Linked DNA regions of Cricetulus griseus. The protein of the gene in region 2 purifies or fractionates together with the protein of the main gene of each other region. This does not show direct contact. Links are inferred from orthologs where the notes say so. Each region holds a gene or a part of one and is shown on either strand. Other genes may lie near its edges.

Region 1 (4,350 bases), on a different chromosome or scaffold from region 2:
AATCCATATAGCACCTACAACAAACAGCGCATTCAGCTGGCCTTGAGAGGAGACTGCACCTACCACTCTTACCAGAGACCGGTAAATGCTGACCACCGTACCTTTCACAGCTACAGCTGTGCCTCAGTTACCTCGCCCACAGTTGCTGCATCCAATTCAACCACACAATGTTAATGCCATTCCTCTCCGACAAATGAGACACTGAGACAAGACCATACAACAAAGCTGAGTTCAGGAAGGGAATCCACAGATTGTATGTGAGTATCTAAATATTAATGCTAATTAGCACCACTATGGCACTACTTTAAACTAAGCTAAGCCCTGAGTGCTTTTACTCATCCTGTGCAGTACGTGCCATAATTACATATTTTACAGATGAGGGTACATTTAGTCACCTACGGCACAATGCAGTTAAGAATCGGCTAAGGTCACAACACTAGAAAGGGGCAGGCCTGGGATTTCAACCCAGGTAATCTTATGGCAGGATCCAAGTTCTTAACACTTCAAGGTCCATCAGCTAAGAGCTAAACCTTTCAGAACCATTCACAACCTAAGCCCTTACCAAAACCAGCCGATCCCACAACACCCTGCTGCATCATGCAGCTTCCAATGGCCAGATGAGCAACCTCCCATTCCCATTTCCATGTCCAGTCCTCACAGAAGGAACATGTATCCATTTCATGGAGAATCTAACTGACTCCGGGCGTCACCTCACCTAGACGACCACAGAAAGAATCAGGCTAGCTTTGTCCGTGAAAAACTTACAGCCCTGGTAAAGACCTGGAAAAGCATTATCTCAGTCTCCTGGGTTATAAATGGTTCTTTCTCCCAGCCCCTGAAGTTTATAGAAGGTGTGCAAAAAAAGACAAGAGCTTCGATTCCACTTCTTATCTGCTTCTGCCTCTGCCAAAGCTAATGCTTCCAAATGGCCTCAATCCCTCACCTCTACAGGCCTCAGACTACGGGAGAAACAGTAAAAAAGCTTGCACAGACTTCAAGGCCAGAAATGGTTGAAACCAAAAAAGCCAAGTACCACCACTTCCTCAACCAGTCTCTCCACCTCTGTAACTGACTTCCTGCTATGTCAGATAGGAATCAGATTCCACACCCCACACTGGGAGACCCTAAGTCCACAGCATCACACCGCATGCTCTCACCACTCCGCGAACCCGCTATCATTCGTACGAAACTCAGAACCACATCAGGACTTTTGAAACTTGCTGTTCCCACTACGTACATCTTCCTTCTATGTATGTCACTGCTCCATACCACTCAGGACTCCGTGCCGCCTCCTTAGGAAAGTCCTACCTGTTGCATTTTCTATCAATTCTCTCTTCCATAGCTCTTCTTTATCACCGTCTGGGACTCAGCAGAAGAGCTCACCCTCAACACCACGTCTACAGCAGCCACTCCCTCTCCAGAGCCTTAACTGTATTTTTTTTCCTCTCAGCACTAACCTTAGCCCTATTTATCTTATCTGCTTGTTTGCTTTTTTCATACTGTTTCCCACAGGAGCCTTGCGTGATGGTTGAGGGCAGGGAAGGTGTCTGTCTTGTTCAGGGCTTTACAGTGGAACTCAATTAATGGATGATACCCCAGTTTTTAAAACAGTGCCTAGCACATGTTTGGCCTCCACTACTCTTTGACCAAATGCACCCTCCTCCCTGGCCTGGAGACCAGGCCTGGGGTGGGGGCGGGGGGGGGGCTCCTGGAATGGGATGATTGTCCTCCATTCTACATTCAGCCCTGCCTTGTCGGAGGTGGCGCTGGCAGACATTACCTGCGCCTCACCGGCTTCATGCAGCTCTTCAGCTGCCTGGCCTCTGCCTCCACAGGACCCTGGCACTCAGGCTGTGGCTCCAGCTGCTGCAGCTGCTGCTGCTGGATCAGCCCTTCAGCATCAGTGGGTGTGGGAGCGGGTGCGATCCGGAGCAGGACAGTGTAGTTGCGGCCATGGTTGTTGGCCCAGAAAGTGCCCTCGGGGGTCTCATAGCGCACCACGAAGTCGAGGCGCGCCCCATCACCCGCGCCCTCAGCAAAGGGCAGCTGGAAGGCAAAACGGTCAGTGCGGCCACCGTCGTCGGGCGAGGAAGCAGACATCTGGCCGGGGCCCAGGCCTAGACCCGGATCCAGGAGGGGATCTCCTGCTCCTGTTCCTCCCACTCCTGCCCCAGGCAGGCTGCGTGGGACATAGCGCGCTGGGTGGTCGCAGAAGGAAGCCCAGCCGTCGTGTGAGGCCCGCACGTGCACCGCCTTCTCGAAGGAGCGGTTCAGCACGCGCACCAACCCGCGCACCACCGGCGGGCGCCCCCCAGGCACCCACACCCCGGAACCCCCGGGGACCGCTCCAGGAGGCGGCAGCAGCGCCTCCAGCTCCACCATCACGCGCCCCAACCGCTCCAGACGGCCCAACGCGGGCGGCAACGAAAATGTGGGCACCAAGTAAAAACCCCCGCCAGCGGGAACGGGGCACAGCGGCGAGGGATCGGGGAAAGCCTCCTCTTCCTCCTCCCCTTCATCCCCATCCTCGCCATCATCGTCCTCATCAGCCCCGCCGCCGCCGCCATCTTGCCCGGTCTCTGCCGCCATCTTGCCCGCCCCGGGCCCGCCCCACGGCCGGTAGCGGCGTAGCTGCGCCAGAGGCAGCCCCAGGGCCTCGTCAGCGAACAGCACCCTCCGCGGGGCCACCGCCGCCTCAACCGAGGCGCGGGGCTCTCCCGCAGCCGGCGATGGGGGTGCGGGGTGCCGCAGCGGTGGCTCCACAGGGGCCGTGCGCGCCATATCGGCGGCGGCGGCGGCGGCACCGACGGCACCGGCGGTGGCACCGGCGGGGGCTGGGCCTGAAAAGGCGGGCAGCCAATGGGAAGGCCAGAGCGGGGGGGTGGGACTCCAGTGGAGCGTAGGCGGTGAGATGAAGACAGGTACAGCCAACAGCCAATGGACAGCCACGCGGGAGTGACGTAGACAGTGATTGACAAGCAGGAGAAGCTTGCGGCCAATGAGGACACCCGAGCGTGGGCGGTGTGGGAGGCGGGATGATCACCGAATCAATGGAAAGGCCGGAGTGGGGTTAATGCGGGACCGAAGATGTAGCTAGCAGAAGTATGACAGTTAGTGGGGAAGTCTAAGCGCGAGCGGCATGGTGGGTGGCGGGAAGATGGAATGGCTATGGGCGAAGGGGGAAGCGGGGAGCGAACCCAAGAGGTCCAAAAAGTGGGAGATCCGCAGGTTGCGTAGGCGGTGAGACGTAAGAAAGATAAAAAGAACAGCCAATGGAGAACTGCTCGCGAATGATGTAGAGGCAGAATGACGATAATGTTTGCAACGAGCCAATGGGGAGCCTTGTGCGAGTGCACTATGGCTTCAAGGGGCGGTAACAGGGTGGATCTAGCCAATACAGAGACTGATGGGAGGCTGGAAGATACTGTGCGAGCATACACGGAGGCGGGACTGTAAGGGGGAAGAGCCCCTGGGCATCTGAGGAGTGAAGGTGGGAGCGAGAAAGAGATGGGGAGCCAGGATGAGATCTCAAAGGGCAGTGCCAGGATGGGATTAACCAATGCCTAAACTGGAGGGTGTAGCTGACGGAGACTTTAGAGGCAAGATAGGAAAGCAGAGCCAAGGGTAGTGGTGTAGGTGATGTGAAGGAAAGCATAAGTAGCCAATAAGTAGCTTAGAGTGGATGTAGGTGCATAGGCTGAGCCTGAACTATTGAGTGGTTGATCACAGAACCGGAATTCTGGCAGCCAATAAAAAGATTAGGCCTCTGGGAAATGGATTTACCTTCTCCCTTAACCTTCCATGACACCACGAACTTCCAGAGCCCCTAAAAGCCTAGACTGTACCATAGTGTAAGACCAAAGCTCTGCTATCAGTTACTGTGTGTCCTGTCCCCCCTACACACACACACACACACACACACACACACACACACACACACACACACCTCGCAGCCTTTTTGTGAACAATGAAACTAACCAAGAACACCCTTGATTGTACCTTAAAATGCCCAATTGAGTATCGGTGTTCTTCAGGACTTGGAAAAATCAATCACAAAATAGGAAACAGAACTGTTTGAAGGATTAGCTTTTTCTTAACTTGCACTCAGCACACAATTGACTCTGACAGTGTGCAATCAGTTGATTGAACATGTTGACAGACTCTGTCTAATCCTGCCCTTCTTGCTCATTTTGACACTTTGCACCCCACAGTGGCTTTCTCTCCCCACTTTATTTCCTCATCTCTGTTGAGCCCATCTCCCCTGCTCAGAGTGATTTCCCATCTGTTTCTTCCATCTAGTGAATTCCTCTCATTCTCCCTTTGAGCCCTCACCTACTATGGGAATGGAAT
Region 2 (3,559 bases):
TTAAAGTTAAATGTAGAAAACAGGATAGAAACTGGGTGTGGCATGTGCTTTAGCCTGCATGTGAGAGGCAGGGTTTGGGGACCACCTCAGTACCAGAGTCCAGGGCCAATTCAGATAACATGTCAAGATCTCAACTCAACAAGAATACAAACACCAACAAAGTCATTTGGCCTTTTTAAAAAACTTCATTTATAAATAAAAATTTAGATCATGGCCGGGCGTTGGTGGCTCACGCCTTTAATCCCAGCACTCGGGAGGCAAAGGCAGGCGGATCTCTATGAGATTGAGGGCAGCCTGGTCTCCAGAGCTAGTTCCAGGACAGCTGCCAAAGCCACAGAGAAACCCTGTCTCGAAAACCCCAAAAAATTGGATTATGGTCCTAAATGATCAACTTTTCCGCAAAGAACAATCTACAAATAAGTAATTTAAAACAAACAAATACTCAGGTGCTCTTTGGGGCCATTCACTGTTTCTCACATCTACAATCTCTTAGGAACACAGAGAAGTCTGCAGACTTGCAGTCTCTGCAGCCCAAAATTCTGAATTCCTAGTTTATCTGAAACAATTCAGACTCATCTACCGACTGGATTGATGACTGCTCTTCAAGTACGGCATCCCAGTCTCAGGGTTCTAAGCAGTGCTCACACTAGAGTGGTCCTCATCTCCTCACCACACACTGAGGCTCTCTGTACTATCCTTAAACCTGCAACACATCTATCTATGAAATACATGTTCTGGTCTAATTTACTGTACTCCTTCATTAACATATTAACTATCATAATTACTAGTTCAGAATTCTAAGCCTACCATTATGGTAACTGACAAAGAGGAAAAATTAAAAGAGTGTATGTAAAATAAGACCAAGCTGACCTCAGACACAAGTGCTCAAGCTATTTAGTCGATACCATGTTATGAGAACAACTTTCAGATGGCACTGTCTCCATGGAAACAGAGCTGCACACCCCTCCCTTACCTCATTGGCCCCACTGAACAGAGGCTCTCCAGTATGCATTTCAACCAGGATACATCCAAGGGACCACATGTCGATAGCAAGGTCATAAGGCATTCCCAGTAGCACCTCTGGAGACCGATAAAAGCGACTCTGAATATATTGGTATATCTGAAACACATTTCAAAACAGTCATTAATTCCATGTCAATTTATTTATACTCAATATCAGTTGAAAAGCTCAACATTACACTACAAACACAGTTAAATAACTAAACGTTTCAAAGGAATACACACAAAAAGTTGGTTAAGAATTCAGACCTTCCATGTAGCGCCGTCCTACATCAGAAGTCAAGAGGAGGAATAGTAAACCAAGTTAATTGCCCCTTCTCTGGGGCTTGGCTCAGTGGTACAGAGCAGTTGTACAGCATGGGTGAGGACTTGGATTTGATCCCTGGCAAATTCTGAGATGGCAAATACTCCAGTACCAAACGTTTTGGACATGAGGTATTCAAATTGTACTGTTTCCAAGTGTTGCCAGGTCAAGGAAGTCACCCACCTGACTACTTTGGTTAATCAGGTTTTTGTACCCAAGTCACTGAGCACCCTAGCTCAGGCACACACTTGCCCTCTAGCCACCTTCTGACATATATGGGCAGGACCACACACAGAGATCTTAGAAGTATTTCCCACATAACATCACTACACTTTAGCACTTAAATGTGCAATGGCCTAATGGGGTAAGCTACTTCAGTTTGTGCAGACAAAGAGAACACTGCTTGATATTAGGACCCAGAGTAGGCCTGGATTTAAATTGAGGGGAAATTACTAAGTGAAAAGTCTACTGAAATACCTCTCACAGTAGATGTGTGTCTCCATCCACAATGTGTTTTACTCCTATAACCAGGGCAACACTAGGCTTTGCAACAGCATTTAAGGCTGCACATTTTTCTTCACAATCCAATCAAAAACTTATTTCCACAATTATTTAGCTGTGTTATTATAAGATAACGCACAGAATGACAAAAGGTAAGCCTGCTAACAAAACTGACTCTATACCTTCACTATAAATAAGCTGCTCTACTTAAAACCTGGATACAAGTTGGACAAGATAGAAATTTCACAAGCTTAGAAAACAAAGAATGGGGATGCCAATATAAAAATAGTAACATTTGGATGTTAGATTGAAAATAGTTGCAAAACCTTTATGCAAATAGCCTTACCTCTTTTGAGAAGAAACCCTGTAACTTCTGTTTACATGCAAACCACAGCCTTGGCACAGATGTCACAATGCTGCAAACCACAGCAGCAAACATCTGCTTTTCTGAACCAGCTCATTGTATTTCCCAAGGCAGGGCTGCTCTGTGTAGCCATGGCTGTCCTCACACTCTCTCTAACTCCCTAATTCACTCTCTCTCCCCCCCTCCCCTCCCCTCAGGTGAAGAAAATCTGAGGTTCTGAGGAGCTGAATCTACACTGCTTCTAACTTAGTGGGGGAAGAAAGAGTTAAAACTATTTATCAAAACAAGCATGTCCACCACTTGCTGTTTCCACACAGTACCGTGATTACCAAAAGCACCTCTTGATATGCACTCCTCAGTTTGTAAGAAACATTATCTTGATGACGTAGGAGAAGTAATTTTTAGTTAAGAACCTAGTTCAAGCTAGAATTGTCCAAATTTTATACTAAAAGTCTATTTAGAAGCTATAAATCACCTAATATTTAACTCTTTTATCTCTTTAACTCTTAAAATGTTTAGCATTAAACAGAATTTTAAATAAAAACTTAAAAATCATTATCTTCCAATTCAAGTACTGCAATATGGATTTCAAAAAGACACCTGCGGGAAGTGAAGCACATGCTACAAGCTCAAGATAATAATAAAAAAATTCCTCTAATTGTCTCCAATCTATAGCTACATTGGTTAAAACATGTTTTAAACAGCTAATTCTACTGTTAACTCACAAGTCCTAAAATAATACCTACCCTCTGCCCCAACTGACAAGAACTCCCGAAGTCAACGATCTTGATGGCACTCCGTTTGGGGTTGCAGAGGAGAATGTTCTCAGGCTTGAGGTCACAGTGAATGATACTAAGCTCTGGAGTCGCAAGGAAAAGCAGTGCTGTGCACATCTGCTGTGCAAACTTTCGCGTGAGATTCAAAGAGACCCCTCGGAAGTTGGTGTTCCTCAGCAAATCATAGAGATTATAGGACAGCATTTCAAAGACTAAACAAAGATGGTTTCGAAACATAAAGTGTCGTTTCAAATGCACTGAAAGAGAAAAGAAATCTCACTTAAGTCACATGCAATGGTGAGATGAGCGTTAGCATCTATTCGTGCTCTCCAACACTTCATTGCCTTGTGCAGAATGGCATGCAAGTCAGTGTGGACGCCAGCCCCAGCAGCAGAGCCACTTGTCAAGACTGCCTACCACTCTTCTATGTCAGAGAACTGTGGTGTCTACTGGTCTGTGACAATATCTCATCAGACAGACTTCTCCACTGCCTTTGGTCAATGTATCAACCTTTGTTGCACGGTAATTTCCAACAACAACTGGCTGGCAATTTTCTGGCAGCTGCCTAAGTAGAGAAATCTGTTTTTGTGTGTT

Evidence for each region.
Region 1: the proteins of Dyrk1a (region 2) and Ppp1r3f purify together in Homo sapiens (affinity purification with mass spectrometry; 3 studies listed by BioGRID and IntAct, with this or other methods). This does not show direct contact. The link is inferred for Cricetulus griseus from reciprocal best matches to the Homo sapiens genes DYRK1A and PPP1R3F.

What each region holds. Positions count from the first base shown.
Region 1 is NC_048604.1:114,040,170-114,044,519, forward strand, and holds the start of Ppp1r3f (protein phosphatase 1 regulatory subunit 3F), read right to left. Parts: upstream 2,832-4,350; 5' UTR 2,782-2,831; coding exon 1,781-2,781; intron 1,702-1,780; exon of another isoform or gene 1,341-1,701; coding exon of another isoform or gene 1,309-1,340; intron 1-1,308.
Region 2 is NC_048597.1:3,188,627-3,192,185, forward strand, and holds part of Dyrk1a (dual specificity tyrosine-phosphorylation-regulated kinase 1A), read right to left. Parts: intron 3,223-3,559; coding exon 2,936-3,222; intron 1,121-2,935; coding exon 974-1,120; intron 1-973. UniProt on the Homo sapiens protein: Dual-specificity kinase which possesses both serine/threonine and tyrosine kinase activities. Exhibits a substrate preference for proline at position P+1 and arginine at position P-3.